Drosophila melanogaster: one gene and its partners. The protein of the gene in region 1 interacts with the protein of each later gene in a pairwise test. Each region holds a gene or a part of one and is shown in the gene's direction. Other genes may lie near its edges. The genes, in order: CG14053, CG33144 and CG9316.

The links.
Region 2: the proteins of CG14053 (region 1) and CG33144 interact in a two-hybrid assay, tested with the Drosophila melanogaster proteins (one large-scale study listed by BioGRID).
Region 3: the proteins of CG14053 (region 1) and CG9316 interact in a two-hybrid assay, tested with the Drosophila melanogaster proteins (one large-scale study listed by BioGRID).

The regions. Positions count from the first base shown.
Region 1 is NC_004354.4:2,188,861-2,199,816, reverse strand, and holds CG14053 (uncharacterized protein), read left to right. Parts: upstream 1-5,907; 5' UTR 5,908-6,339; intron 6,340-6,757; exon of another isoform or gene 6,758-6,844; 5' UTR 6,845-6,846; coding exon 6,847-7,539; 3' UTR 7,540-8,178; downstream 8,179-10,956. Other genes in the region: Mct1 (monocarboxylate transporter 1), read right to left, coding at 874-1,015.
Region 2 is NT_033778.4:10,792,991-10,803,970, reverse strand, and holds the start of CG33144 (uncharacterized protein), read left to right. Parts: upstream 1-5,261; 5' UTR 5,262-5,631; intron 5,632-9,486; 5' UTR 9,487-9,846; intron 9,847-10,861; coding exon of another isoform or gene 10,862-10,980. Other genes in the region: wde (windei), read left to right, coding at 1-1,734, 2,313-2,737, 2,800-3,248; mthl13 (methuselah-like 13), read right to left, coding at 10,862-10,980.
Region 3 is NT_033779.5:20,721,108-20,732,336, reverse strand, and holds CG9316 (uncharacterized protein), read left to right. Parts: upstream 1-5,785; 5' UTR 5,786-5,880; coding exon 5,881-6,475; intron 6,476-6,530; coding exon 6,531-7,231; intron 7,232-7,289; coding exon 7,290-7,340; 3' UTR 7,341-7,365; intron 7,366-7,425; 3' UTR 7,426-8,128; downstream 8,129-11,229. Other genes in the region: TM9SF2 (transmembrane 9 superfamily protein member 2), read left to right, coding at 1-559, 614-773, 834-1,337; CarT (carcinine transporter), read left to right, coding at 2,085-2,177, 2,236-2,460, 2,672-2,854, 3,003-3,261, 3,317-3,908, 3,971-4,369, 4,445-4,718.

The DNA.
Region 1 (10,956 bases):
CGAGGGAGAAGAGATCACTCCGGGATTAGACGCGTATGTATATATCGGATGCCCTAAGCATGACCGTATTCCAAGAGCGTGCCCAAAGTGGATTTCGTCCGATCAAACTGGTTGTCGGGCGCTGGCCATAAATCAGTTTAGTGGGTAATTAATTAGGGCTCCCATTTCATCAGGATCCCCATGCCCCACCAGTCTGTTCTAGCCCCCATCCCACCGAGAGGCAACTATTTCCGTAACCAGGCAATTACAGCCCACACGGCGATAAGATTATCGACTGCGTATCGACGCACTGGACACTTGGCCACAATTATCATCCAATTGATAGTCGCACGGCTCAAGTGGTGACCGTACTCCAACTGCACCTCCACCACCACCTAAGCCTTCAGCGTATCGGGTGTCAGTATCTGGATCGGACCTCGCCGATAAGTCCCACTTCCAATCTATCCCGCTGAACACCCTGATTTGCGGCGATTAGAGTGCCTTAGTATTTACGATCCCCAAAAATCCACGAAATGCCTAATACTTTTATTCCTGGCCACTTTTGGTTGCCGGGTCGACCCCATGCTCTTGGGTTTGATTTATGGCAGCCGTAAAGGTGGCGGTGGCGGTGGCAGTGGCGATGCCGATGGCTAGTCTACCCGGCGCAGTTGCCCAACCCCAGTTGGTCAAGTCTTCCAGTCTTCCACCGGCGAGAGCCCCACTGGCACCTCCGCAGATTAATTGAAACCCGATTCGAGGGGTGTTGCACATTCCAGTCGGGGAATCGACTAGTAAATACCGTGGGTTCTTAAACTCAGTAGTACTGAGTTTAAGCTTTGCTTATAACGCCCCTAATCGCTGAAAAACTGGCGAGGCCAGTTGACTTTCACTTACTAACTATGTGTATCATGAAGGAGCCGAAGACCACCACCCATCCCCATCCGCCGTCTGGCGGTGTGGGCTGCCGCTCCATGTCCATCTCGCAGGCCTCATGCTGCTGCTGTGATTTTCTGCGAGCCGGCGGTCCGTGTACCATGTTGCTGGTGTCGCCCTGGGCTGATTGCTTTGGTTTCCGGAAGAACCTTGACCTGCGATTGGGTCTCCTCTCCGGTTGCACTTGCTGCCTGTATGTGGCAACTGCTGCTGCTTCTCCTGCTGTTGCTGATGGGATGTGCTCCTTAAAGCCAGCGGCTCATGTTGCAGCAACTGAAACGGTAAACAAATGAAAGCAATTAGAGGGCAGTCATTGCCAAGTTCCAGCATATTGAAAACACGTGATGAAGAGGATGTTGTCGCTGGTGTGTCTGCCCTGGTTATCAGCCGAGCTCGGCCAAATTCATTGAACCTGCTAAAAACATTCAAAACAGATAGACCTTACAATTTGGTGGGGAATGTACAATCTGACAGACAGAGGGGGACGGGAATTCTGCGAATTCTTCTAACTGGGGTTTTCAAAACAACAACTTCTAGTTAACAACTAGAACTTACAACTTTTTAGTTAATCTATTTAATTCTCATTTATATGCTCAGCAGCGAACAGGTTAAATTTAAAATCCCATGTACATAAAGCCCCAGAATATATGCTAATATAGGTGGCGGGCCAAAGCGAAGCAAACCAAATCAAAGCAGTTATCAGCCCCCAAGTCACCCATTGACCTCGGCCTTCCAGTCCGCCCGCTGCTCATTAGCACGGTCCCCATAATCACGGTTATTTGGCAGATTCCGCTTACGATTCCATTGTCCATTGCCCCTCGAATCGGCAAGCCAGGAGAGGTGGCACATCGCTACATTATATATAGATCTCAACGCGGCTTATCAGGCTCGGCTCAGAAAAACACCAGACTGTGGTGGATGATCGGAGCTGAGCCGTTTGCCATTTGGACCCCCAGCGATCAGCGCGGAAAGTCGTTCGTTTATGCGGCGAGAAAGTCACGAACGTGCGCCACTCGCTTCGTCAGCTAACTAAGGCTTAAGGTGAATTTCTGTCTATTTTTCGATTTACAGTAGAGGTCTTTTCTTTCGCTATATAGATAGCAAGCGTCTATTTTGATGTTTTGTTTTCCCATCTCTTTAGCTTTGAAGATAGCAGAGAGAGCATGAATATACATACATAGGCCTTCACAAATTCTGCCTGCTCAATCATTGTTGGTTTTGCTGCGTTTTTGTGTGGTGGAAACAAAGCGCAAAAGTTGCAACAATGCCGCAAGATAATTGTGACGTGATAAAGCAGATGCGAACCGAACAGAGCGGCGGGGTGGGTATTCCCCCCACGACCGAACAAAAACAAATGCCATTTCACTTTTTCCAAAGCCATATCAGCCAGTACTTGATATGCACACACATTACACTGAAAGCCAGGCATGAACAAAGGCTAAAAACTTAACCTAAAATTGATTAGGAACGAACAATCGGGCGACGGTCGTCGGCAGGGGCGTTATACTGCAGAACGCCATTGTATGTGGTTTCTAGTCGCACTAAGTCAACAGGAAACGCATCCCCAGCCTCTCCAACTTGGGCGGAGTGAGTCATCCGTCGGCGTCGCTCTTTTGTGCAATCAGAGACAATTAAAACAATACAAATCAAATCAGCGTAAATGAGAACCATACACTTTTACCTCAAGAGCCTCAAGCAATACGGCATTATCAATGGACTCGGCTGGTCCAAAATCTGACCATGACATTCAGGCGTTCGTCTTATATCGCCGACAAAGAGATTGCGCATACGCAACGTTGGCGGCGCGGACCAAAGGAATTTAGTTAATACGGCATATATTTATTACTGAATATCCGCCCCTTGACCGAAACTCATCTATTCGCACATAATTGGACTTTGGTTTCAGCTGATCTACTTTAAATCGAATGAATATGGAACCATATATAATAATAGCTCTATTCGCCTATTGAAACACTTAGTGTCATGACACATATTAACTTTATGATTAATAATATATTTTATGAGTCAACATTAATTTCAATATTAGCTTTGTTAAAGACTGTGATTATGAAAGCATATAGCTTCTCAGGACAACAAATTCATTGCAATACCGTTTAGGGCAACGAACGGAGGAATCTGAATTTAAAAATGCTTGTAAGCGTACTTAGTGGACATATGCACTAATGATTTGATGAACCAGTTGCCAACTGGATCGTAATCGGTAATTACTGCTCAATTCTACTTCATGTGGCCCCGAACCCCTCCACTTGTTTACCATGCACTTTCGCCCGGCAACCAGAGCACCACCACTGCCCCTCCCCCAAGAGCGATAGCACTCGGACTGGATGCACCCAGTCACTCATCGATCGGGTGGGGGGCACTCGCGGGACTTTGCCCTTGACCTATCTCCATATGAGTGTAAGAGCCGAGAGATAGCCCCGAAAATGTGACAAAATGTGCGCAGTAGGCAAAATGCAATATCAGCAGAAGCAAAGACAAAAGCAAAAGCAAAAGAGGAGACAAAAGCAAAGGCAACACGAACAGTTCGGTTACGTGAGGCACTGAGAATTATTTAGATCATTCGCCAAATTAATGATCATCAAAGTGTCGGGATTAGATTGCACTCCTGTTCTGGCTCTGTTTCGAAGGCAACATTAGAAAAATGAATTATATTCGGAGCAATAAGCTGCCAAAGTTAGCAACATTTTCTTCGTGTGTAGCCCCAAGGCTTCTATTTTGCTACTATTTCTGTTGACTGATCAGCAAAGTCGTTGAACCAACAGTATCAAAACAAACGAATGCATGTGTAGATTGCCAAATAAAAGCTTGGGCATGCAGTCGAATTGAGTGATTCACCCCATTCGTGGGTAGTATGCGATCCATTTCCAGTTCACAACTCCTTAACTATGAGTACTGTGGGCAGGAATAGTGTCAGCTGCCTTTGTCCGTTTAGATTTATGCCTCGGCTATCCTTGCCGACTTTTCAACTGCATCTCAGCTGGAAGAGCTGTCATTCGCACTTTGTTTATTATGAAATTAATTCACTTTGCTCGGCACTAAATGAATTTCAGCGTTTGCGGTCACGGATTTGTAATTATTGCGGCCTTGGGCTTACTTTGTGCTCACTTCCCATTCGGAATCTCATGCCCACAACCTCTCATCAATCACCTCCAGCTAACCAGGCTATTGAACCTGGCCAGGGAAAGATACTGACCCACTAACCGGATTCTACGGCTTGGGAAATTAATGACAATTAATTTTATTATTAATAAAATTTTATTAACGTGCTCTAAATTGATCCTGTGGACTTCTGCAGGAAACTAACTTCTCGCCATACACTGCTGTATCAACTTGAACTTGACGAGCAGATTAAATTCGAAGAATTTAGTTTCACTGTTTGATATCCCCACTTCACCCGGGATCACGATCAATCTTTCCCAACGATCTTGTCCACACAGTCGTAAACGCAAGTCTCGCATTTAGTCAACATCAATATCAGGGAGCTATCAATATCGATCACGGCCACCTGGCGAGCGATAAAGGAGGTGGGGAGCAATGAATGCACTTCTGTTCTTTTTCTCCCACGTTCTGGGTCTGCAGGCGCGCCAAGTGAGAAAGAGAAATCCGAAAAAGCCGAAAGTATAGAAACGATCTGTTTAAAAATAGTTTCGACGAAATGCATGCATTCTCGGCATTTGAATGGCTTTCCGACTCCAGGCGATGGCGCTTCGCTTCTGGAGGATTGGATCGGTGTGATTATCGGAGATCGGTGATCCGATCGGATGTACAAGATCACACATATTTAAGAGTCTGGTCGCTAGCCCAGCGATAGTTACAATCACCTTATCTGATCCAGGCGACTTACCTTTCGCCTGTTATTTGGTAATTAACTTGTTGCTGCCTGCACTCTTTGGCTTTTTTCCCTTCGATTGCTTCACTTTACTGCCGCAGTGTGCGAATTTACGACTTTGTTGACAGTTTGTGTTCTTCGCGTTACAATTGCAGTTGTCCAATCGTCGAGATTACGGATTGAACGGGGCGTCGAGTGTTCAATAAAACTGAATGAATGCGATTTCGATCGCGTCGCACTTTGACTGCGGTGCTTGACGTACAGCGTCCTTAGCAACTGGCCACACTCGATATGTCCTTGCGGTGAATGCACACTCGGTCACACTGAACGGCAATAATGGTGCTTCTAACACTGACTCCCGGCTTTGCTTTCCCTTTCCCGATGGCTTCACTGGCTTCCAAATCGCGGGAGCGAGTATTACTTTTTGGCGAGACGCAACCGATGTCGCTGTCAGCAGGGCAGGCGACGAATTAAATTAAATGCGAGCCGTGTAAGAGCAGAACGCCGAGCGCCGAGCAGCCGAAGAAGGAACGGCAGCAAAGACAAGCAAACAGCGAAGCACTCTCCTCTCCAGGCCTCTCGCACTGCTCCCTCGCTCCTTATCAGTGGTCAGCCCCAAAGAGCGCGCATGGAGAACTCTGGGCAGGAGTGGGAGCGGGAGAGGGAGAGCGCCGCCAAGTGATCGGACCCAATCTGCTGTGAATTATAGGCACCTTATCAGTTTATAATATTTCGTACATGTTTCGTGCTTCCAATTGTGTTGTCTGCATGCAAATAACACGGCACTTTCGGGCGGCAGCGGGGGGCCTCGGGGGTGGTCTCGATTGCTTACGCCTTTCTGGCTTAGTGTTAAATATTAATTAACAAATTTGCTCGAGTTGAACTGTGCGTAAATCGAAATCACAACGGCCATAAAAAGCGAATACAGCCTGTTTAGACCCACACTGAGCACTATTATACTCTATTCCAAGTCGAACCCCACTTCTTATTTCCTTTTTGCTTAGAAATGAATTTATTTTACAGTGCACACGGATAAACAGTTATTTCCATCGCCTGCATTTCGAATTTTATCCGCTGCAGAAGATTGCAGCACAGTATGGCAAACCCTATTACTTTTTATGTTTTCAAAACATTTTTTTTGTTTTTACCTATTCAAATTCTGCAATATTCATCCAGTCAGCCCATCATTTTTGTATTTCCCCTGCAATCGCAATCGAACTTTGCCCATGCAGCCTTACTGCAGCTCAAATTACAAATCGATTAGGCTCGCGTGCCATCCAAGCTGCAGCCAAAAGAAGTGCATTATCAAGGTCGGCGATGAGACGGCGAGTTCCCCGCGGGCCACAGCGAATGTCTGATGCTCTACACGGGCTTGGTGGAACGGTACATACAGCTCGGCCTCGTGAGGAGTCACGCAGTCAGCGAGCATGGGAAGTCAGACTTGACCGCGCTTCGCACTGATCGCATAATTTGCTGTACAAATAGTGATTTCTAATGCTAAAAATACACACCAGACCCAAGACCAGGCTGACCAGGCTGACTAGACTGGGCCTTCGGTCACAGGTAGGCCATCCCAGGTGAGTTGGTCGACCAACCCGTGATCCTATATACACGCCCGTCGGCTCCTGCCCTCCCAAACCCTTTCCCGCTCCGCGTTTATGGTTGTCGTAATGCGACAATATTGATAGCCGATTATGCCAGGCCATTGATAACGCCCTCGCTGGGAGGGGTGATTGCGGGAGGGGGACCGGGAACGGGAATGGTGGTGGGAATCAATTCCGCATAGTTCGTCCGAGGGTGGTCATGCCACGCCCCATTTCTAGTTGATAAGATAGTGGAGTCCAGGCCGGATGAAATGGAGCGCTGCTGCAGGCTTGACTTGCCGCAAGGAGCGAATTGGCGCCGCAGCAGGAACTGGAACAGGAACCTATGTACATATATACCCGGTTGCCAAGTGTCAGGCGCCTCAAGCTCCATGTTCATTCAAGCAAGCATATTTCACACACTACGGAAGCCCGGAATATATTTCCTTCTATCCGTAAAACTAAAAAAAAAAAACTAAAAAAAGTATATATTTTCTAGTAATGGACATCTCCCAATCGGACGACCTATACGAATGCGGAGTGGAGAGGGAAAGGGAGACTGTCCATCAGTCATCGCGCACCGTGAGAGATCCCCTTCAGGTGTTCCATTGGATAGCGTCTTTGGATGTGGCCCAGCTGGAGGACGAGACACCGCCCCCCAGTTTCTACTTCGATTTGCTGGAGACAAATGACGTCGAACTGGACTGCAGTGTTTACAGCGGAAAGCTTCTTGTAACGCTCGGTAGTCAGACAGATGTGTCGCAGCCAGAAGTTTCGCAGGAGTATGCAGACAACGCACTGGCGGTGGAACCAACAGATCTGAAAATATCAATACCTGAAGATGCGACAGCATGCCCATGTCATGCCGCATCTGATGATGAAGTATCAATTACAATATTTGTAGAAAGCGAAACTGAACCGGAACCACGTGGGAACTCCGAGCATCAACCAAGTCGCTTTTCGTTTTTTGGCATGTTGCTAAAGGCGGTCGTGGCACTGTCCGTGGTGAACGCCCTTTATGTTCTGTGGACGATCGGCTTTGAGGCCTTCAAGAACCGCGTATGGCAGTCATCTTCTGTGAATATGCCACCGCCTCGGACTACATCGATCAGGGAGACGCGTGCTTCGCTGCCCGAGAGCATTTGGCGAAGTGTTGAAGCTAAATTGGCTAGCCTGCGAGCCCGCTTGAACTAAGTCCGCTCCTGGCTGTCGGACTTTGTTAGTTTCAGCTTGGTTATTTATAAACCCATCCCGCTATTTTTACGCCTATGGCACCAGTTGCTGTTCCAGTCGATTCCTTCGCCGTCGACGACCACTGTTTGCTGTTGTTCTCGTTGCCGGCGGCGTTAGAGATTACGAGTAACACGGACTGCCCGAAAATACGGATTTCTGTTGTTGTGTACCCGGGACAACAACAACTATCCGGCCCAGCGATAAGCGTCGGAATCAACACGAATCTCGGTCAATAGCTCACCGATCCATAGCCAAATAAACGCCAAGCTGAGTCTCCAGTTCAAATCGAAATTTCTCGCTCTCCCTTGTGCCCTGCCTAAAATATTCCATGGCGCTGGTTATGCTACACCACCTAATCCGCGCATCCGTGGGACAATGATCCCGAATCGCCTTATCGGAACCAAGCACCTTTCGCCCATTGTCGCCTAATAGGTGCATTCACTCGCCTCCTCCCCAGGCGAAACGGAACTCGATCCCGACTAGCGTCATCTCTCTGGGCACTGCTACTATCTGATCACACCTGGCAATTGCTGGGGTCGTCGTGAAAGGCATTTAGTTCTTAACTAACCAAAAAAGCTCTTTTATGTATGACTCGAAACGATCTCTTTTTAGATATTTAACAATTACATAAAATCCAATAGTTTGAAAATTTGGATACGAATTCATTCAATTAGTTTTATTTGTATGGCAAAAATGTTTTTTTTTTGTCGAAAAATTGGGAAAGAAAACCTGTCCAAGAATGTCTAGTGCTTTAAGGGAATTCTGGCATAACTCGGCCAAAAACGGCCAAAAATCAATTATAATTACTGTTTTGTGAAGCTAATGGCCAAAGCCAACGATCCTTATCACTTTTTAAATGGTTTTGGGAAAAAAAATTTTTTTGCCAATTTTCGGATTTTTTTAGAAGGGGTAACATCATTAAAATTTGCGAAAAATGTTCAAAAATTAAAAATCGAAAATTTAAATGCTAATCGATTGGAAATTTAATTACGACTTCACAGAGGTATGGCATTCCGTGTTCGGTCCATAATTTCGTTTGTTTTGAACAAAATACTGAGTTTTTATGGCGGAAAATCTGAATTAAATTGAATTACCTAACTAGCAGGTGGGTCTCATCCAACTGATAGCCATCTCCGTGCATTTGTATAGCCTTCGTAGGCAAATTACGGTCTGGCCTCTTGCCTAGTACCAACTATTGATTTAATTGCAGCCGACGGCCAAGGAAGCGCGGACGTCAACGTCAACCGGGGCGAAAAGTCGGAAAATGAGCTGCCAGGAAAAGCGCAAGGCATGGGCATAGTGTGCGCCAGCCCGGCTTGAAGTATGCATGCAAATTAGCTGACAAAACCAGATTGACATTCGGCAATCAGGGCAAATTGTCTGCACCGGCCATAGTAGGTACACTTTTACCACTTTTAACGAAACATGCCGCATTGCCGTTTTCCCTGCCGCAGCCCAAAGCCAACTGAGCAACTGGCTAAAGGCACAGCCGAAGGCCAAGAGCGCGGCCTGCGAATGGCAGTGGTGGTAGTTGAAAGGGGGGAATGGTCGCTTTGCGGGGGGGTGGGGGGTGTGGACAGGACGACCCAAAAGCCCTGGGACTCATGCTGTCCGTACGGGTCGTTTGCTCTGCCAGCGCCTGCTATTTAACATGCACTCGTCAGAAGCGCTGGGCCGCATTAAAATTGCAGCGTTGGGGGGCAGGACGAAAGCCGATCCAAAGGGCCGGACACGTACTCTTCGCAGCCACCTGTTGGGTGGCCCCTCCTGCGCGCTGCCATTAGATATGTACATGCACACACGGCACACAGAGGCAGTGCAGCCCATCAGGATCTCCGGTTGCAGCGGTCAAGTCGATAGCCATGCTCATTATCCTAGTGTTCTGGCCTGGCTAGTACCTACCTGCATGTCCTGCCAGTAAAGTCAGTGGTTTAGCCAAACTTATGGGTTACTGTCGATACCCTGAATCCCACAGTGTCACTTATTCGAATACCATAAGTGCTTATCCTGCGACCGCATCAGTCCTTTCCCGGCGAACTCTCGCTAATTATGCACGGATTAATAAAAGACATGCGCTCTCGACCGAAAACAGCAGAATTTACACCTGCCACATCCATCGAAGGGGGAATCCGGTTGTGCGGGTATGTGCCACTTAAATGGCGGGCGATCAACGGAGTCCCGTTGCCACAAGTGGCGCACAGCATCCTTTCAACTTCCATTAGCCAGCTTCCTGGCGTTCGTAACTGTACCTTCGCTTTCTGTCCTGCCTGCACTTTCACTTCTGGCCTGCTTTCTCCGCCAAACCAAACACCCTCCCTCCACCTGAAACGGCGCACGTGCCACGGATGTGTGTGTGACAGGTGGTTATATCGGTGCACCGGAACCTGCCCCCCGGCATCACGTTCCCACTCGGTTACAATGTTACCATGTTGTGTGTATGCAGTTTCGCTATTTGCAGCTCTCGGACTACGGAGGAGCATGTCCAAAAAGCACTTCATTTCAGCAATATCCCCGGGGGATGAGGCGTACCGTGCAACTGGGTGGCCGAATATGCATGGCAAAGGGTAATATACGCAGACAAAAGGTTACGGGGTTCAAAGGTTAAACGTTTCCCACGTATTTACGAGCCCATCACTACAATTCCTGCCCGTTTGCGGTGTTAGTTTGGTAGGCCTCTGCCCAAAGATGTTACGTGGCACTGAAACCTCCTCTTTACTTCAAGTGACAGAGATCCCCCTTGGAGTAAGAGGTATTTGCTACGTCCGAAGGAGGGCAGAACTTCCTCATCACCGTGCACATGGCCACTTACCCTTGCACTTTTTGATGAACCGGCACGTGGCACGTGATGCTACCGGTCGATCCTTGGGTCACGGTCACCGATGCCGCTTGGGATGCCGATACCGATGCGCACGGTACACGGATGCGGAAGCTGAGACGGGCACTTGTACCACGGAACACAGTAACCAAAGCCGTTGGATATCGAACCTAGGCGAGTAATTAATTGACAATCGCTTGGCCGTGGACTCCAGCGACCCGTAATTGGCGGAAGGCCGGCCATCCGCCATCCGCTATCCGCTATCCACTTTCCGTCGTCCGTTTGCCGTGCTCCGTACTGCCGAGCCGAGCCGAATCGGATGGGATTGAGTTCAAACCGCCGTTTTGGCCAGCCTGCCGCCCGAAAACAGTATGGCCACGTATTTTGAATGCAGCGCCGATGCCTGCGAGCTTTTCAGCTTTTGAGGGAAGCTTTCGTGGAGGCAGCTCCGTTGGAGGCCACCCCCTCCTCCGCTTTGTACGGCTCAAGTCACGTTGCACGTACCCCTTGGGCGCTTGAATAGCATCTCGTTCCACAACAGTCCCTAGTGCCCACTCCACTGC
Region 2 (10,980 bases), on another chromosome or scaffold:
AATTTCTACTGATGGAAATTTAAAGGATTTGGAAAGCAATGAATCAACGGTTGTTGAAGAGGAGACCAAAGAGACGGAGTCCGATGACGAAGTTATATTCTTTGAACCCCTAGATAAGACCGAAAATGTGGGCACCACAGCCAATCCAACGAACGAAAATTCTGTGAAACCACAAGCTAAGGATGACGAAGTTGTTCTCGTCTCCGAGGATGAGGATGAAACACCGCAGAATGGGATATCGGAAAAGGAAGTTCAAACTATCCAAAAGGAAACAGCTTTAAAAGGACTTCCCAATGAGTCAACTACAGAATCAGTTGAAGCAAAGAATCTCCAAATAGACAATTCCGACAATGCATGCGATCAGTTCGAGAAACTGAAGACCCATGATATGGTGAAGCAAACTACCACAGAGGATGGGAACAGTAATTCCAGCAATCTATTGCGACCCGCCGAGTACGCGGAAGAGTCGGTTCCAAAACGGCTGCGTCTTAGTACCGATGAAAAAAATGAATTCGAAGCGGAGACGAATCAAGAATCATTACCAATACTCAGCAGAGCAGAGGGTGGTTTGAAGGATGTAACCAAGCGGAGCCATGAACATCTGGACAGCAGCCCTCAGGAGGAAATACCTAATAAGAAAGCTAAGACTGAAGACTCTGACTCAAATAGCTCCCACGAAGGCACGCTACAAATTGATATGGGTGGTCAGGAAGACAAAGAAGAATCCCCCAAAAAAGATACCCAAAAGAAACTGGACTTCGACCTTAACCCCGTTCCAGAAATTAAACAGAATGTTAAGCCCCTGCGCTTGGAATTCTTTAAGACCTTCCGACGTAGTTTCGACACAATGACCCGTGACGACCTGGAGGAGCTGGTGCTGCAGAAAGTCGTCGAGGCGATGATGGTTAAAAGTGATTTCGCAGAAATACGTATGCAGCTGGACAAATGCGAGAGCACTCTCGCCAATTATCGCCGCAAGATTGCCGAGGTGTCGAAGCAATTCCTGGATTTGGAGACGGTGCACAAGCGTGTGCTTAAGGACTTGGAGGCTAAGAACTCTCATTTCACCGCTCCTGTGCGTATAACACGAGCTGTTGGTCTTCAGGTGGGCATTCCGTTCAAGGCTATAAAGCCCACCGTCGCCGCACCAGAGTCAACTCATGCTGCTGGCAGCGTGTTGGCGCCGCCCAGCGGAACACCACCCAAGGCCAGCACCTCCCCGACGCGTGCGACCGTGCGACCAAGACCTCCTCCGCCTACCTTTGGACCATCCACATCCTCATCGGAAACGGGTGCGGGCGTCAGTGTCACTCCGAATTCCAATCACCAGCAACAGCAGCCAGCAGCACGGTCATCTCAATCCTTAACAACGGCTAGTGTCACGCCACCTGTGCGCCGGGGCTGCTTGCAGAAGGTCACGCCCCATCGGCCGGTACCTACTAACTTACAGCCCGCGCCAATGCTTATGAATCAGTCCAGCGTTCAACGTCTGCAGTCCTCACCGCCTATAGCTCAAAGGACAATGCACGCCTCCAAGCACACCGGAACGCCTGGCTCCACGCCTTCATCGGTGGCCAATGCGATTAATAAAACCGTCATGCGTGCCCGGAACTCAGAAGCCGCTTTCTTGGCGCAAAAACAACAGCAGAAACAGCACCAGCAACAGCAGCAACAACAGCAACAACACCTGCAACAACAACAAAAGCAACAACAGGCGCAGCAACAGTTCCTACTGTGAGTATAATCCTAATCGTGATCTTCGATTAAAAGCGAATTCCACGCTTGTGCAGAAGTTTACAATTAGCAATTTATTGGGAATCGTTTCAGACCCAATTAGCTAAATAGATTCATATTTTTACTTGTAGAGTAATACGGTATACTAGATTCGTTACAGAGTATATAACTGGTAGAAGGCAGAGTTTCCGTATATATTTTTTTTATCTGGATCAATCAGGCCATGTCCGTCCGTGTGTCCATATGAACGCCTCGAACTCAGTGGCTATAAAAGCATACATAGATTTTTTTTTAAATTTTATTATTCTATTTCCCAATTTGTATTGATATGCCAGAAAAAATTTTGTTTTCTTAACATTCAAGTATATTTTATTGCTATTGAAAATCTTTATAGTTGGGGTAATAAACCCAAATGGGTAAATAAAAGCGTTACCAATATAAAAATATACTTGTCGAATCAATATGTTTATGTCCGTCCGTCCATTTGTCCGTCCGTATAATCGCCGAGATCTCAAATTCTTCGTCAAAAGAAACATGTCATATTCACATTACTAACTTACAATTGTTTCATATTGCAGACCTCGACCTAGTCCCGGTCCCACGCCAGGTTCGAGTCCCGCCAAGCAAGTGCCGAAGTGCACAACTAAAGTGCGCGCCAAGCAGCCACCGCTTTCGGGGGCCACGGTCTCGGTGCCCATCTCATCTAGCAGCAGTGGATCGGAATTGGGCAGCTATGGACAGCAGCAGGAGTCCAGCTTGGCGCCGGCCAAGCCCAAGGAGAAGGCAGTCATTGACCTCACAGATGAGGATGATGCAGCGGCTGCGGCGGCGGCTAGGGCTGCCCAAGCACAAAACGCTCGTTTGCGTATGGAGATGCTTAAGCGGAATGCTCAGACTGCAGCAGCGACGAGAGGAGGACGAGGAGGCGGAAATGTGGTGCGAGCTTCTCCAATGCAATTGCCTCGCGTAAATGCTCGACAGATAGTCCATAATAATGGAGGAGGTGAGTTGGAAAATCATTATATTCAAAATATTCGGCGTACTTATTTTCAAACGTATTCAAAGGTCAGCAAAGTCCCTTGGGCTCAAACGTAACTATGCAGATACGTTCGGAAAACACCCCGCCTCCAGCGTCTCGTCTAAGATACTCACATCCTGCACCACTGCCCACGTCTCCTCCCCAGCCCTTCAATCCATCCTGGAAGGTGCCTCCTTCGCGACCCGTTATCCGGATTAGTCTCCTTGATACTGGTATCGTTATATCCTGGACTCTGGAGGATTCGAGCCCGCGGTTCGCAGAGTGCGTAATGTACCAGATCTATGCATACCAGGAGACGATTAACGAGCCCAGCACGGATAGCTGGCGGCATGTGGGCGATGTCAGCGCTATGTTGCTGCCAATGGCAGTGACTTTAAATCAGTTCCAGGAGAACCAGAGGTATTACTTCGCTGTGCGGGGCGTTGATAGTCACGAACGATTCGGGCCGTTCAGTGTTCCCAAGACCTGGTCGTAGACGGATTGGTCTGTTCTCTTCCTTAGATTCTAGTTTTAGTAGAAGATATGTAATTTACTTTTGTCCTTGGTAATCCGTTCTCGAAACTAGCCGGAATTATGAGTTTATACGCCTAAGTTATAAAGAGATTATTGAAGAATTTTTAAGAAGTAATAAACAAGTTATGCCAAGCAGTCAATCCACTGCAGTCAGTAAAGAAGAAACAAACAAAACATTGTATTTCATTCTCACTAGGTTATTTAACATAAATAAGTTCAAAACTTACATTAAATAATAATTTGAATAAATATCAAATGAGAAGAGCGTTTTATCTTGTATTCAATTTTGTGTGTGGACCCTTATTATTTATATGACTAATATGACTTATTAATTACTATTATGAAACAGTTGATTTATTTTATTTAAAGCCGATGAACGGAATTAGTTTTAGTAAAAGTTCATCATCCTTGAGTAGTTTGTTGAACTAATGAATTCGCAGACTAATTTGGATGGATATCGATTAATGTAAATTCGTCTACAATAAGTAGTAACAATTATAATACGGTACAAAAACAATTATAACCACAGAATCTATTTCCTATCTAATTAACAAGTTAATTGACGAAGCACCTGATGTTTGATATTGGCAAATATTGAGCATATAGTCACTAATTGGTGATCAAGTGAAATGGGCCTGAGGTATAAGTCGTGCACATAAAATATAGATAAACTCCCATTTAGGTGAGTGTGCCAACCAATTTGGAGGTCACAACAACGACCGTCCTAATGCTCGATGATGAGGTACAGTCGAGCCTGTGTATGTCAAACTTAAGCCGTATATGAAAATAGGATTTATGTGTTATTATAAACGAGTCTTCATAAGCCAGTCCATATCGAAGAGTTCAATATTGATGAAAGCCCAATGTCAATTTATAGAAGCTCCACTGTAGCTGCTGTGGGCACTGAGGAAGGGGAACTGACAGTGGGGCAGATGGCGGCCTGTAATATACTCCTGCCTCCATATCCTTGTGCCGCGTGCACTTGACATTGGCTTTCGAATCGGGTCTGTCGCGGCATTCATGCGCGGCGCACTGGCAGGGGGTTGGGGGTTCCGGGGGCGGAAGGTGCAGCTTTGCCCTGGTAATGGCATAATCGACCCCCTTTCTGGCCCCTTTTCGTTGCGGGGGCTGGCCACGTGCCGTTCTCATTCGGCCGTTTCTGGTTTTCCTGTTTTTCCTGCTGCTGCTGCACTTGCAACAGCAGCCAAAAAACCTTGACATTAAGCAGCGTCGTCGACGAGGCACAAAATCCTGCAATTGTGTGGAAATCGTCCTGCAAAAAAGGCGCTGTACTTGAGCTGTCCAAGCCACATATTTGTGCTTCGAAAAAACCGGGTTCCTTTAAATTGACATTATTACCAATTTTTGATTATTTTCACAGGCATAAAGCCAATATTAAAAATAAAAATCATTGCAATAACCCACTTCTAAACTTCAATACCAATATAGTTGGCTAGAAGAAATTACCTGTCTATATTATTACACATATTGATATATGTATATTTCAGATATATTTCTGATGAATACGACCATCTTAGACAATAGCAATTCGTTAAATATTTGATATCTATATCTTGTTCCTATGACAACTCAGATTAATTACTGGACGTATACGTTCATACTTATGCATATGTAAAGTTCGCAATAATCAATCAAAATGTGCTCCTAAATCGTTTGTGCGCCATCAATTAGTCGGCAGTTATTTTCGGTGACCCCGACATACGAGTGAGTGTAATTGAAATACATGGATGTTCGGTTGCCACAATTGCAATTGAATGCTACAGTTGTTGCTGTTGCCCTGACAAAAGCATAATAACAAAAACACAGATGTTCCGTCAGCAGGTTGCATTTCGAAGAGAGCAGCGGGAGAGGGAAACTCTCTCTTCTCGCGTCGTGCGCAGTGCGCAGGACGTGCAGCACGGCAACACTGGCCATGGAAGTGCGACAAATGTGTGCGGTGGAAGTCCGTTTGTTTATTCGCTTGCGGAACGCGTTTCTCGACGGTTGGTTCGGTCGCAAAGCGGAAGTGCTGGCGCAACGTGCAACATCCGGCGGCAAAGCAGCAAAATGCCAACACAATAAAATCAAAAAGGAACCTGTAAACACACACCTCCAAAGATATATAGTTAAATCATAAAAAAAAATTTACAAAATTATAAATATATAAAAAGTATAGCCGAAATTAGTGTGCGCTTGTTGATCAAATCAAGAATTAAAATAGTATATTGAAAATAATCAAAAATTGTCAAGTGCTTTTCGAAAGTATAAATATCTTAATTAAAACCGTGTTAGACCCCCATTTCGAAATCGATTACAAAGGGTCGAAAAGTTTGTGAAACCGATTCGTAAGTGCCCAAAGAAGTAAAACCCCCTCCGCCAACCTTTCACCTTTCTTTGTGTGCCACATTCTCCTTATGTGTGCCGGTGTGAGTGTTTATGTATGTTAATTAAATTACCGTTATGTGTGCTTACCACAGCAACACACTTACACACAAAAACCAGCTCTATCGCAGTAATTATAAAAAAAACAAAAGAAAAACAAGAATAATACAAAAAACAACAATTACAAAGGCCACTGAAAATCCATTTCCCATTTCCTTGGGCTCCCCCCCCCCGCATTTCCTCTCTACTTTCCCCACTCATCATCGCATGTTTTGCCCGCCCTGACACTTGGGGCATATTTCTGTGTTAACTGGGCTGTGCGTGTGTTTATTACTGCGACTACGGCCATTGGCACGTACATCGGACGGAGTACCCTCAATTCGACGCCCATGTCCTTGCCATGTGCCCTCCTCATACACGCCCCTGCTGGGCACTACTCACAGTTATTAAGCGTCTTATGGCAACTCTCAAAGCGGCCCATAAGTATGCTATAGTTTTTGCTATTCTGCTGAAGAGTTAACTCAGGAATACTTGGAGAAAATTGTAGTACATGAATACATTACATGATAAATATATAAAATAAAATATTTTCATAATCTTTTAAATGGGCAACAACAATAAATTCGCATAAAATAAACCACTATGAATTGTAATGTTCAAAATTTCTGTTGTACTGCAATAAAAAAGAGATTTTAGGTTTTAATGTATGGGCAACTTAATTCGGTACTGGCATTAACCTATCAAAGAGTGTGACGTTTCTCTTCGTGTAGGAGCAGCAGGTGCATTTCACTCAGAATTTCAGGTGATAGCAGTGAGCTTCTGACCAGAAATCAATAGAAAATCAAGCTTTACGCTTATGGATCTAGTTGGGGGTTAGTCAGTCGCCTGCTGCAGCCATATACATACGTCGTTATTGCCCTTTGTTACATTTACCATTTGAGCCACTTTTATGTTCGGCCCTTTGCACATCAAATTGATGATAAATTGCAAATTGCGACCATAAAATCCCCAGAGAGTTATTGAAAAATTTCAGCGAAGAGGTCGTAAGGAACCGATGAAAAGGTATAGCATTTCATATTTATGGTATTTCCTGCCAGCATTTCATTTCAATATTAGGAAAGCAATAGGTATAAAAATGCTCGTGTAGATTAATAAATGTTTTGGAGAAAACCTACCTTGAATGCGAGTACTTTTTTAATTGGCATTAATATTATAAAATACATATTTATTCAAAAGAAATTTATTTTTTCTTTGAGCTAAAGAATCGATCAGTGTGACAACTTATTTTACAAGTTGTTTAAGCTTATTAGTTAAGAAAACCCAATTTTATAGTTTGACAAATGACATTGGCCACCAAATTGCGATTTGCTGTACAGTTTTCCAGCCAGTTTCTTGCACTTTCAAATGTTTGATCTATGCAATCCATCGTTGCAGGGCAAGTTAGACTGAAAGCTTTTTGGAGTCATTATCCCGTATTTCAATTAAGGGCGAAAAAAATTCGCGCTCCACACATAGAACACCAAATTGTACGCTGGCGATGGTCTGGCTCAATTAAACGACAGCGAGTCCTTCGCTGGTCGGAGTTGAGAGGACGAATTCAGAGGATTTCCCGGTATAAGGGATACGGGTGGTGACATCTTCAAATGGCACATGCCCGTATGCAAATTGCGCCATAATCTCCACTGAGCGTTGGGCATTGAGTCGTCGCCTATTGATTATCAGTTTTGCATACTAATATGCCCAAGTTGGCAGTGCATTGAAATCGAGCCAAATAAAGTGACAAGCTCCGTGTCCCACTGTTTGTTTCTGCCCGTCCCTGTCGCTCCTATCGCCTCTTTCGTCCCTTTCGCACGTTTGCCATGGCAGCTGTCAGGGGGGGGGGGGGGTTCCCCTCGCTTGAATGTGTGCGATGTGTCCGGGCTTAAGTAGCTTTATGTGTCTGGATGTGTGAGTTTTGTGTGGTTATAACATTTTTTTTTGTTTTTCGCTTTTCTCGGTTTTCGATTTTCACCACGGTATTTCCACGAAAAGTTGTTTTTCCTTTCGATTCTGCTTTTTTGCTGGCATTTTTTGCTTAACCTTATCGAGTGAACTACAAAAACGAAGAAAAATAGTAACTACAAAATATTTAGATACAGTATAGGTGGTCATTTCTTCATATAGAAAATAGGGCTATTTTACATCTATCTGAACTTGAGTTTAAAGGATATTTTTCGAAAAAAAAAGCTATTTAAAGTTTCTTTCCCCTTACTTAATGTTTGTTGAGAAGTGTCGTCAACGGTGCCATTGTTTTATTATCACTCCGTAGTTCCCTTTTTTTTAGGTGGGTTCTATCACATTACGTATACGCATTTAGTTCCAATTTTTGCCTCTCGTTCCGTGGGCTTCGCTTTATTTTTATCGCCTTGCGTGTGTAAGCGAGTTTTGCTTGTGCCTTAGTGTGTTACTGTGTTTGCATTGCCAGTGGCGGCCTTTTTTTTGCTTCCGCTTTTCCTCGACTGTTTTCCACTTGCTTGTGTATTTCCGCTGTAGTCATAATGGGAAACAGCTGATAGTACACGCCCCCTCACATCGTCCCCTAATCGAGCCCTTTTCTCCAGGGACACAAACAGAGGGCGGAGCGGCCATAAAAGAGTTCTGTTAATGGGCGTGTTTTTTGGGTCTTCCATAGTACATCTGCTGTTTATATGGGGCCCGTTCTTGTTGCGAAGTGCTGGAACATTGATTTAAGTTGTGCTTTTGAAACACCAAAACTCATCCCAGGACTTAGACCTCAAACCCAAACCAAGATTTCGGACACCTGCCACAAGCAATGCTGCAATGTAACACATGTTATAAAACATGTTCATCTCGGACAGTTTTCGAAATTTGATATTTTCAAAACTGGACATGGGCAAAAAAACCAATTGGTGGGCAAACTTCTTGCTTCAAATTCCAAATATTATATATGTATATATACTTATATTTTTCCGAACCCAGCTTCTTTAAGCTGGACAATCCGGCCTAAACAATCAATCAACTCACAATCCATAACATTTTGCGCGAAACATAAAACAACACACAATGATTTCGATGAGCAGACTTTGGGCAGCTGTCAGTTGGCATTAAAAGTTGTTTGGATGGCGTATTATAATTGCATTTGGTCATTTTTATTTGGAAAATTGGAGTTCCAACGGGAAGAGGGAGACCGGCAGAGGCAGAAGTAAGTGATTTATGGTGGGAAGAACGCATGGCACACAGAGCGTATGATAAATGTCTGCAACGAGCTAAATTTGTTAGGGATGGAAATGAAATTACAGAAGTGCTCAAAGCAAACTCAAAAGGAAACAAAAACAGGCACGCATAGACACAGTAAAAATAAGATTAATTTATTAAAATGGAAAATACTGTTTAATAATTAAAATAAGTAATCATAAACATATGGCGCACTTACAAGAGCTCAACAACGACTAATGCATATTTAACTTTATATAATTTTACTTTAATTTAAAGACAGGATCAAATATGTAGGAAATTTCGTCATTTCCTTTTAAAATATGAGATTAAAAAGATGTTTGTATAGTTTAATTGTAAATGTATTTGTGTGTGTATAATCATTATTACAATATCTACCATTTTAATTGAAACTTCGTAAAAAGCTTTTAGTATTACGTTATTATTTTTGTCCGTGCATCCACACACACATTTGCAATATTAATGATGCTGCTGCTTATGTAAATTGAAAGCAAAAAGGAAACCGCAGAGCATCATCATCATCATCTGCATCAGCATCAGCATCATCATCAACTATAAAACTGTTTTTATTCTACCATTTTCAGCGGAATCAGAGCCACCGAAAAGAAAGTAAGGCAAACAAACGATATGCGTATAGGCCGGGCCAAAAAGGACAAGATAACAAATCCCCCAGCAGCACTTAAGGCATAAATCTCAAACTCAATCAACCATCTGAGGCTGAGAAAGAGAAAGGAACAGGTCCAAAAGACAGAGACAAACGATCTAAGTGGCTGCCTTTCATCTGGATATTGGGACAAAGTCGGCAGCCGAATAGGGAGCAGGATAAAAAGGAGCAGGGGCAGAAAGAGGAGCACCATCGTCATCCTGCATGTTGATTTCAGTTGAAATTGCGACCGCAACGAAGGACAAACAGTAGAAAGCTTTCAAGGACGTAACATGGCCAGGTAAGTCGATTTTGGCCTTCTACACATATATTTTGCCGGCAATTTATATATGTATATTCGCTCGCCTGTCAAAATACATTTCCAGTTCAATGCAAACGAAAGCGAAGAAAGAAATCGCATTTATCATTAGTCGAAATAAATGACAATGTGCCGTAGTTCTCGATATTTTTGGGGTACTTTTTGGTAAATGATAAAAGTGAATGGCTTTCACTTGCTTTTCGTTGTGGGAGCACATGTAACCGGCGAGAAAAATGTGCACCTGTTCACTAGAGACATTAAATGTGAGAGCTTTGATATAAATCCTTTGTTATCCATTTAGTGATAGACTGCTTAAAGTATTATTCACTTCCTATTTATTAGAAAGCTAGTGTTGTGTAAGTAAGAAAAACAACAAGCTTTCTTGCAAACTTTATTATTCATTTAATTGCAACTAACACGAAATTCTTGGTACCCTAAAGATCAATTTTTAGTAGTGCTGCATTTGTAATAACCTTACGACGTTATCAATGATTGTTCGCTTACAATTCCTGTCCATCTGACCAATTTTAACCAAATAATTTTAAAATTTTTATCCAGTTATCAGATATTTTGTGAAAACGTGAGCGTATTATTATTATGTATTATAGGGTATGCTGAAGAAATCTAATCTTAGAATCTAAATGTAAATGTAATCCTATTTTCGCCTTCCCGATATTTTTAAGTTATAAAAAAGAAATTTTCCCAAGTCCTGGTTCTAACCGGAACCACGTTTTAGAATTATATGGGTTTACAGCCCCGATATCTATTTAAAGATTTTGAGGCGAATTGTTAATTTATTTAGATATAATTACAAAAATAAACAAAAAAACCAATAGGTTTAAATATTTAAAAATTTTTTGTGGACTTTGGAGCATTTCCTTATTGATCGAAGATCAAACATCGGTCTGCTGGTGTAGGTTCTTACCACGAATTCTGATTGTAATATACTTAATATATGTAATATATGTTATTAACGGAATAAGAGTTATAGGATAACTTACTTGGCAATGAGCAGTTGATGGGTGCTGCGCTTAAAAATAAGCAGGACAAATAAAATGATACCAAAACCATAATGTATTTGTTGGATTATTATACCGAAAATGTCCCAAAAAGTGG
Region 3 (11,229 bases), on another chromosome or scaffold:
ACTCTTTAAAGGCTGGAGAACAGCTGGAAATTGTCTACACGTACAGCGTGAAGTTTGTAAAGAACGATTCTATCAAATGGTCATCACGTTGGGACTACATTTTGGAATCCATGCCGCACACGAATATCCAGTGGTTCTCCATTCTCAACTCCCTGGTTATTGTCCTTTTCCTGAGTGGCATGGTGGCAATGATAATGCTGCGTACGTTGCACAAAGATATAGCCCGCTATAATCAGATGGATAGCGGTGAGGATGCCCAGGAGGAGTTTGGCTGGAAACTGGTACATGGTGATGTGTTCAGGCCGCCGCGGAAGGGCATGCTGTTGTCGGTATTCCTGGGTTCGGGTGTACAGGTGCTTGTGATGGCCATGATCACCTTAGCATTTGCCTGCCTGGGATTCTTGTCCCCAGCCAATCGGGGAGCCCTGATGACCTGTTCCATGGTCTTGTTTGTTTCGTTGGGTACACCGGCTGGTTACGTGTCTGCGCGTATCTACAAGAGTTTCGGTGGGCTGAAATGGAAGAGTAATGTCATCCTTACCTCGATCGTTTGCCCTGGGTAAGTTCTTTGAAATTAAAGCGATATTATTATTTAATCGTTTTTCTTTTTTAGTGTGGTCTTCTCATTGTTCTTCGTCATGAACCTGGTGCTGTGGGGGGAAAATAGCTCCGGAGCTGTGCCATTTAGCACGCTAATTGCTCTGCTTGCCTTGTGGTTTGGCGTCTCTGTGCCACTAACCTTTGTAGGAGCTTACTTTGGATTCCGCAAGCGCGTGAGTATATATTTAGCTAGTTTTTAAAATGGTTCCTTACATTTGTCTGTACGATTTCAGGCATTGGAGCACCCTGTGCGTACCAACCAGATTCCCCGTCAGATTCCGGACCAATCGATCTACACACAGCCTATTCCTGGAATCGTTATGGGCGGCGTTCTACCCTTTGGCTGCATCTTCATTCAGCTGTTCTTTATCCTGAGCTCGCTGTGGTCCAGCCAGATTTACTACATGTTCGGTTTTCTGTTCCTGGTCTTTGTCATATTGGTCATCACATGCTCGGAGACCACCATTCTGCTGTGCTACTTTCACTTGTGTGCGGAGGACTATCACTGGTGGTGGCGCTCCTTCCTGACGTCCGGCTTCACAGCAGTCTATCTGTTCATATACTGCTGCCACTACTTCGTCACAAAGCTTTCGATCAAGGACAGTGCCTCGACGTTCCTGTATTTCGGCTACACGGCCATTATGGTATTCCTGTTCTTCTTGCTGACCGGCACCATCGGGTTCTTCGCGTGCTTTTGGTTCATACGTAAGATCTACAGTGTTGTCAAGGTGGATTAAACCGCATAATTCAAGAAGGAGCTCGTGCGAATGTATTTTTGTATGTGTAGCCACAAATTTACACTTAAGCCTAATGTGTGTGTGATTTCTGCGCTGTGCGCCCGGCACAGACAGTTTTCTGTTTACTATAATTACGATTGATATGTGTATAATAACATATGTTTGTATCAGGCAAGGAACAGTGGAGTAACGAAGCGCGCAATAATTTTTAAGCAGTAAACAGCGAACGAGTTGGAGTTAAAACGACTTGAAGCATCTTTTGTATAGCTCTTCGTTCTGTTAATCTTTAGGCGTAAAATTTAGCATTGTCCATTTCCCAGCTCTAGCAACGATTCCAAGAAAAGAAGAAATTATCAAGAAAAAAAAAACTAAAATCCCTTTAAATGTACTGAGCTGCATAACGAAGTACTTTAAACCCCGTTCTCTACTTGTAATATCAAAGCCTAACAACTGTAATTAGTGGCTCGTCTTAGCCGTAATTCGAGCAGGATTGAATTCACGTGTAATATTTTAAATACTTTAGTTTAAACTATTTAAATCTAACTTGCGACTAAAGAATAAACAAAAATATAAATTACGAATCGAGCCCACTGCGACAAACTTTTTACTATCAACAGAACCAGCTCATTCTTTCAACCCTAGACAACTGACAGTTGTCAGTGGTTGCTTCTATGGCTTCCGTGAGCTGAGCCAATCGGGCAGTGTGAGTAAACATTTCCAGCTCAGAGCTTGTCTAGAGGCGCATCCATGTCAGATATTGAGGACAACGATGGGGACGAATACGATGAACTTTCGGAGCTGCGACAACGCCACAAGCCCGAATCCCAGCCCTCGGTGGATGTGCATATCTGTGAGACACGGTCCTTGATCTTCTCTAGATTTGCTGTTTTCTTTCCAGGAGGCCTTCGATCTGGACGACCTTCTGCCCACCATTGGCGAATTCGGCAAATACCAGAAGCTCTTGGTTTTCGGAATTTGCCTGCCCGCCTGCATACCGTGCGGTTTTTGTGCGTTTAACCAGTTGTTTATGGCTGATACTCCGGATGACTATTGGTGTCGCATCCCGGAGCTACTCGACTTGCCCCTGGAGCAGCGAAAATCGCTGTCCATACCCAAGGAACTGGTGAGTAATTGCAGCCATACGAGTGCCGAGGCTAAGGCAATCAAGTCAGCCCATTGATTGTGCGTTGCTTAAGGTGAAGGGTCGATACGAGGGTGGTTCGATGAGTAATCGAAGGGGCTAACAATGAAATGGGGGAGAGGTAAACCTTATATTCTATGCCTTCTATTATTTAAATATATTTTGAAATAACTGATGAAATAATTATTTCAAGGATAACGACGAACTGGTCTACAGCAAATGTTATACCTACGGAGTCAACTGGACGCAGCTCCTTGAATCGGGGGAAGAGGATGACCTGACGACCATGGAGCCGAATGCCAGTTGGCCACTGATCAAGTGCCCCCAGGGATGGGAGTACAACACAAGCGTCGTCTGGTCCTCCATTGTGATTGATGTGCGCAATCCAGACCACCAAGCCTTCATTTGAAACTACAACGTCATTCATGTAGGAGTTGCTCGAATCATTTCCCAAGCATCAGTACTACCTTTACCTAGGAGCGAAGGATTGGCTTACTATAAACCATTAAATCCTCCTATTTCAGTTCGATCTAGTGTGCGATCAGGATATTTATCCTACGATTGGATTGGCTGCTCTTAATACTGGCGGTCCAGTGGGAGTCTATCTTTTCGGATTACTCAATGATCGTGGTGGACGAAGGCTCTCCTATTTCGTCTGTTTGGCCACTTTGCTGGCTGGCAGCCTAATGACTTCGCTGAGCAAGGATTTTTGGACTTGGGCCGGCAGTCGAGTCATCGTAGGACTGACCATTCCAGCTGTCTACCAGATACCATTTATAATATGTGGGTATTTCATTGTTGCTTCTAACTTTAACCATTAACTTTTCTGCGTCTGCAGCTCTGGAACTGGTGGGTGAAAACTATCGATCCTTCGTGACTGTGATGACGTGCACCTTTTACACTTCGGGCATCATGCTCCTGTCCGGCGTCACTTATCTGGAGCGGGATTGGGTGCGCCTCTCCTACATCACATCCCTGCCGTTTTACGCCTATTTCCTGTACATGTTCGTCATGCCGGAATCACCGAGATGGCTTTTGATGCGCGGTCGCCTGGAGGAGGCTCTCAAGATTCTGGAGCGCATGGCAAAGGTCAATGGCAGAGAGTTTCCCGAGGCTGTGCATCTCAAGCTGGAGGCTCAGATACGACGGGATAAGCTCAAGAAGCAAAAGAAAAAGATGGCCAATGTGGGGCTAGCAGATCTCTGTCGCACCCCCAATATGCGCTTAAAGACCATCCTAATCACGCTGAGTTGGTTTGCCAATGAGACGGTTTATCTGGGACTCAGTTATTACGGACCAGCGCTGGGCACCAATCAGTATGTCAGCTTCTTTCTGTCGGCTGTTGTGGAGCTGCCGAGCTATTTGTGCTGCTGGTACTTCATGGATACCTGGGGCAGAAGATGGCCATTGAGCTTATCAATGATATTGGGGTAGGTGTTTGACCCATCATCTTGTGTTTTTTGTGTAAAATTCGAAGTCCAACATTTTTCAGTGGCGTGGCCTGTGTGATCACTGTAATGTTGCCCGATGATGCCGTGGATGAGACCCTTGTGCTGTATCTAGTATCCAAAGCCTTGCTATCCGCCTCCTTCCTGATCATATACCCCTTTGCCGGGGAACTTTATCCCACTCAGGTTCGGGGTATCGGCATTGGTGCTTCCAGTTATATTGGAGGATTGGGTCTCATTGGCATACCTTTTATTACCTACTTGGGAAAGGACAATCTTAAACTGCCCTTGGTCATCATGGGCTTCCTTTCGATGCTGGGCGGCATGACGGGATTGCGGCTGCCGGAAACACTGCATCATCGCTTGCCGCAGACCATCGAGGAGGGCGAGGAGTTTGGCAAGAACTGGCAGTTCAAAGATTGCTGTAGATGCGCTCAAAAGCCGTGAGTTCAATGTGCATGTGGTGACCAAGGCGGGTATAAAACTAATTTAATATATATTGTGCTTACTTTTTGCAGAGAGATTTTATCTCAACCTGCGTCGTACGAGAACCTGGATGTCCTGGCTGGATCCTCCACCAATGCTTCTGAGGTGGAATTGGAGCTGCGGGACAGTCGACGGGTTCGGGAGCCGGCTCCCCGCATTGACGAGCGTACGCCCCTGGACACAACGGCCAGTGGAAGTGGGCGACCTGTTCATCGGCCCTCGATGAAGCGATTAGTGCGCCAAATGAGCGTCATGGACACCCAGAGGACGCATGATGGCACCATGCAGTTGACTCATTGGATCTAAGATTTGTAGCGACAAATCTAATGTATTGTCACATCTAGAAGAGATTTCTTAAAATTAATTAGATAAACTGCAAGGCTATTCTTTGTTTTCGCTAAAGTTTAAAATGATTGCATATAAACTATTTACTAATCTATTGCTTAACGCTAAGGGATATCTTTTTAAATATAGAACTATGGGCAGAGACTTCTTTAAAAACAAACATACAAATATAATTAATCATAAAAACTTACCATTTTTGCAGCACAATGTTAGCAATTGTCATTGTATGAAAAATAACGAAATTAATGTTTCAACAAGTTACTTAACATATAACAGCACTATTTAATTGCTTACTAATTTATTTATAATTTAAATAATAGTTCTCTAAGTAAACGCTTTTGATTCCGTGTTTTAGAAGTATTTGCTATGAGCAAATAGAGCAGCATACTTTAACTGCTTAAAATTAAATCTATAACAATTTCCTCCTTTAAATACCAGTTTTCTTTTCCTTTTCCATTACTTTTCCATTAATTATAGGGCATTGCCATTATGCCTAAGTTGTTTGCTTTTGTGAATTACAAAAGCTTTGTAAACAAAAACCGAAACTTAATTCTTCAAACATATCCGGTAAAAATAAATAAATAAATAAGTACGTGTAGCGTATATCGTATGGCGACTTCTCAATCACCGGTAATTGATTTATGCATTTATTCAGACAATTATGCAATTAATTGTTGTCAAACAAAAAGAAAACTTGCTCATGCGGTGAATAATAGAGGAATGCGCGAAATTGCCCCCACCTGTCGACCGTAAACTGCTGGCGGTCACTGTCAACCGTAGGAAGTGCCTGGACCCATGGGAATTCATAATGCTGGATCAGATCACAAATATGTTGACACCAAGGAGATCTTGCAAGCAAAAATGTAGTTTCTTAATATTGCTACTTAAGTTCAGTACGCAGTTCCAAATCCAAAGATTCGTTAAGATGGTCCTTTGTCCTAGTCTTTTTCCCTATAGATCTCTGGAGTATTTAGATTTGGATCTTGAATTACGGTATCAGGACTCTAATATTTACCCGGTTACACAAGGTCGAGCTTGATTTTCCCTTATTTCCTATCATAACATCTGGGCAGTGTCAAAAATGAATTAATCTAAATTTACGTACAAGCAAATAATCCAAAAAATGCCTAAGGCGAAAACGCATTCGAGATCAGTGAAGACTCCATTCCCAGTTCGCTCCAATCGCCCGGGTGGAGTCCAAAAAAGTGAGCCATCGCCATCGCCATCGCCATTATGCAGGACCAGTCTGCTTGATCTGCCGGAGGACATCATCCGACTGGTTCTCGAGTTTCTGCCCAGGATTACCGATAAGGTTCTGCTGGCCTGTGTGGCGCCCAAGTTCCGAGCGGCCTTCGAGGGCTGGGCGAGAGTGCAACGAAATGCTTTGGACATGGTTAGTCTGGAGACGGTGCCTCTGCCGCAATTGATCAGGTTCTTCAAGGTGGCGGGACCCTTCATCAGAGTCCTTCAAGTGGACTGTGCGTCCTACCAAAAGGAGTCCCTGCTGGTGGAGTTCGTAAAGGAATACTGCCCCAATCTGGAGGAGATTAGTTACTCGAACGCCACCGATGAGTTTCACTACCGATCGATTATGTCCAAAATGACGCACTTGAAACGGGTGACTATTGAGTGTTTGGATGCAGAGGATGTGCTCAACTTTGATATGCAGCCCAACCAGGAGCTGGAGTTTTTTGAACTGGTTAATGGTTGCTATACAGGTAGGTATGCACTGCACTCTATTTATGCGTTTGCGGGACTTTATTTTCGCAACAGGCCAAAATCTCTGCGGTTTTCCCAATCTCAAAACTTTGGTCCTTCGAGACTGTCTGCTATGGAACTCGATGGAGTTTGGAATTCCGCTTAAGTCGTTGCACACTTTGGATCTCGACGACTGTTGTTTCGAGGTTATGAATGTGAGCTTGTACCAGAAAATCGCCGAGAGCTGCACGAACTTGGTGGAACTGATCTTCTCCGGCTGCGACACCAACTTCGAGGTAATCGCCAACCTGCCCAAGCTGGAGCGCTGTACACTGAAAACCTGGATGACCTCCAACGAGCTGAATATTGGGTTCCTTACGGTTCTGGCAGAGAAACGAGGAAACAAGCTCACCCATCTGCACCTATCCGGTCAGTTCAATATCACCAATGAGCACGCCAGGTGCCTGGGACAGTTGAGTAGCCTCACGGATCTGCGGTTCAGCAACAACGATATCCTGGACGACGATCACTTCAAGTTCTTCAACGATCTCAGCCAGCTGGAGCGATTTGGTCTGACCGCGTGCGGTCGGGTGATGGACGTGGGGATGATGAGGATGTTGCGGAAGTGTCCCCAGTTGAAAGTTATTGATTTGACCGATTGCGAGCAGATCACCGAGGAGTTTGTGATCCAGGCCATTGGATTCTGCTCGAAGGGATCAGGTCGTGATGTGGTGCTCAATGTAAAGGGAACCATGATCAGGCGGCCTATATTGACGGTGGGAAAACCGGGGCGGGAGTTTCGAAAGCATATACTAACACTTTCATATTTTGCAGCATCCGGATTACGTGAATTCCTTGAATCGTCTAAAGGTTAATTTTATTTAAAACGACACCACTCGAATGGAAAATGGTAAGAAAATAAATGTCTATGAATTGTTGCAATAATTTGATCAAATTTTGTGTTGCCAAGGAATCATTTCTTATTGAACATCAAATATCAAGAGAGACACTGCCCAAAACCAATCAAATTTGATTTCTATTAATAAAAATCAGTTTAAAAGGAGTGCAAGTATTATTTTTGCCATAAGGAACCGTAGCTGTGATTTCTGGATTAGGGAATAGACGTGGTGGGCACTTCTTCCGTGAGTGGAACATTCGATGGCCTTGGAGCGCGGATAGCTAAGACAATGGGATCCTCACTGGATCGATGAGTCATGACCCCATGGCTGCCATAAGGAAGTGGACGATCGAAATTTATGATCATCACAATGCTCACAATGCTCCATTAGAACGCCGATAATTGCGGACAAACGTGTGTGGGTCGTGTCGCTGCACTTTGGGCCTTTGGCTGTAGTACGTCAAGCGGCTGGCTAACAAGCCAAACGAATGGAAACCGAAATCGAACAATACGCGATATTCGATACAGTTCTGAATCCGCGATTCAATTCGATCCAAGCGATCGATCGCCGGCAATAAATTTCGCATTCAATTGCTGCTCTATTGGAACTGAACTTTGTTGCTTTGTTGGCCGATGATGTCTGTGTTAGCAGCAGGAAGCTAAGTGACCGCGTCCAGTTGATTACACTTGGAAAAATAGAAAACATTTTGTTTAATTATAGAACTAATGTATCTTGCAGGACTCTTATAATACATATGTCCAGTTGGGTTCAATTAAATCTTTTAACCAGTCATTCTTCACAGGTTTTTTGTGTGATTTGGTATGACACCTTTTCTCTAGAATTATTTGCAGTGCAGATCGTAGAGCGAACTCACCTGTGGCCACTCCACTACTCCACTGGTTAGTCATCTATACGTTTTGATTGTTTTTTGCGTGTGCTATTTGTTTTACACTGACCTCGAGTGGCTCCTTAAATGGCTGTCGGCGGCTGCAATCGCCGCGACTCTCCGATCGACGGTGCTAGAAGGGGTTAGCAGGGGGTTAGCAGTGGGTTAGCAGGGGTTCTGGTGGCCAGGGGCACCCCGGCGAATGCCTTGACATGTTCAGGTGTCCGCCATGCTCGGCTATCTGACTAATTAGTGTACTTTAACTGGACCAGCAGAGCAGGCAGCTTGCTGACATTTGGCCACAAGTTGCGGTGGCATCTTCGGCTCATCCGGAGGAGCAGGGTTTGCATGAGTGGGGCACATTAAGCAGGGATAATTTGGCGTACCCTGCCCCTTTGCAGTATCGTATCTGGCAGATACTACTACTATATACTCGAAGCGTGTCCAATCACGCCTGTGAATTATTTAAAAATCTCGCTGGGCTGTCGTATTTCATAAGAGAGACAAGCCTTAAAATTGTTACCCTGATGCCATAGAAATTCGTGTTGTTTGTTGCTCGGTGACTTTGTTGTTGTTCCTAATGTTGCTGTTGTTGTTGTTGTTCGGGGGGGGGGTTGTTGTGGTGGCTTGCGATTATGGGAAATGGCTTTTGCTATCGCTTAGCACACCTCTCGATGGATGAACTTTTGGTATCGCCCAACGTCTGGGAAGAATCCGAACGAAAAGGGGCGGAATCTTAGGGTTTTCGCTTCAGCGGAGTGAGTGGAAGTAAAAGGCACAAGGGAAAGTGCAGCGATTATAATTTATAACGATTTTTCATCAATTAAGCTAAGTACCAACACTGACAATATGCCTGACATAATATCTTGAGAAGTTATCCCATTTCCGTGTCAACTTTCTAATCAATTTCTTGAATATATTGAGTAACATTGGTTCCACTTTGCTGGACTAACTTAAAGATGTAAATTCCACTTACTATTACAATTGTAAAACTTGCGTTTTCAATCCAATCTTAATTTCTAATGCTTTTTGTGAAACACCTATTCCGCTCGATTGGAAATAAACTTTTATGAGCCACCCACCCACAGTCATGCGGCGAACGACCCACTTTGTTTTGGACTCGCAAATTATTTTGCGGCACGCCACATGCTGCAACACCATGGTGCACCAGCAACAAGAAATCAAGAGCTGCCAACATTAATTTAATATTGAAATTACAATATTTCGTTTCTTTTCTGTGTTTGGGGCAGATCCGAATTCATTTGATTCCTCGGAGATGTTTTCATGCACGATTCGGTCGCTGGTGATTCGCTAGTCGATGATGCAAAAGTTAATTTAGTAATGCACACTCCTTGTTCTTTGACTCCCCAACCCAAAGCTGATGAACTTTTTGGGCCCAGGCGGCTGGCTGATTGGCACATTAGCAACAAATTGTTAGTACATCTTATTTAAGCCGCTTAATTAATTCCGCGCATTCTGACTGCCCGAAAAATGCGAGGGAAGTGAAATCAAATGGAATTTGATTGGCATTAGCCAAGCAGGGGGAGTTGCCAATGCTCTATGCCTCCTAACTGAATATATTTAAAAAAAAAATGAGTCTTAAATATTTTTTTATATTTAATTATATTGCATTTATAAGTTTATACAATTATAAATTATAGTTAGTACTAATATTTAGTTTCATTAGCATAGCACATGTTTTCAAGAATCGTTAGAATAGGGTATTACCCGCATTCGGAATCTTGGAGGTTCGAGGCACAAGTGGAGGGGAGACAATCAAGCCAGCCCGACTGCGAGCATCTTTTGGCCAACATCTCTGGCCAATTGTCGGCCGAAGACGTGCCTGGGCTTGTCAAGGTGCCCCGACTTTGTGCGGCTCCCTGGAACTCCATTCGCCGGATCTCCAACGGCAGAGTATGTGCACTTAGCTATAGAGGGTCGAGTGTAGAAGCTACCTTCAATTTGACAAAAGCCGCTGGCAGACAACGCGATTGCATGTTGCCTTTCAGCTGCTGACCAAGTTCTCTGTCCTGTTCTGTTCTGTTCTGCACTATCAATTGATACAAATCTATGCATTTTGGAATATAGAGACGTACAACATGGCCCACTGCGGCCAGGCGATTGCCTCACTGAATGTCAATAAATAAGCGACTATCCAAGCAGATATACTCACATGTATCCATATAGAAATATATTTATATATATATATATATCTATCTATATAGCTTGAGACAGGTCGAGGTCACTTTTGAGCGCCGCAGGTGAGAAAATAGACAACCGCCGCCGAGAGAGAGACCAAAGATGCCACTTCTGAGCCTCCGAACATGCAACTGGTTGCCACTGCCACAGAGTTGGACACTGAAAAAAAAACAAGGGACGTTGTATGCGGATAGACTCACAATTGCTAACTGATTCTATGAACAAATTTTTCTTTCAATAACAAACATACTGAGTGAGTTTAAGTAGTTTAGAAACATTATTTAGTGAATTGTGTTTACTTTCAGCGAAAGTTTTCGTTCAGTGTTCTTCTAGTTTGTGGTGGGCAATTAGAGAAGTCTGCACTTGCAATTGAGTATGCACTGGGATTATTCCGTTTTTTATTGAAGAGCCAGTTACCGAAGTGGTTTCTTCGTGAATATTAAAATGTTTATGTTTAAATAATTAAAAACTCAAACAGTGCCTTCAATGTACATACACATACAACATAACTATAAACTCCAATAGTTATTATCTTGCGTTTTTATTGTGGCCAAAAGACCTGTAATTTTTGAACCCGCAACTCTCGAATTAATTCAATATATAGATTTTTTTTTTCAATGCCGCGGCATCTTCTTCCATCTTGGGAGCTTGCAACTGGAGCTGCCTGTGGTTCTGTCTAGAACATCGTGTGCTCTTTATCACTGACATATTGCAGCGGCCATTTAATTTATGGCGATTTTCACATGCAGTACATCTCGGAGCATCTTGGCTCCGCTGGTGGACAGCAAAA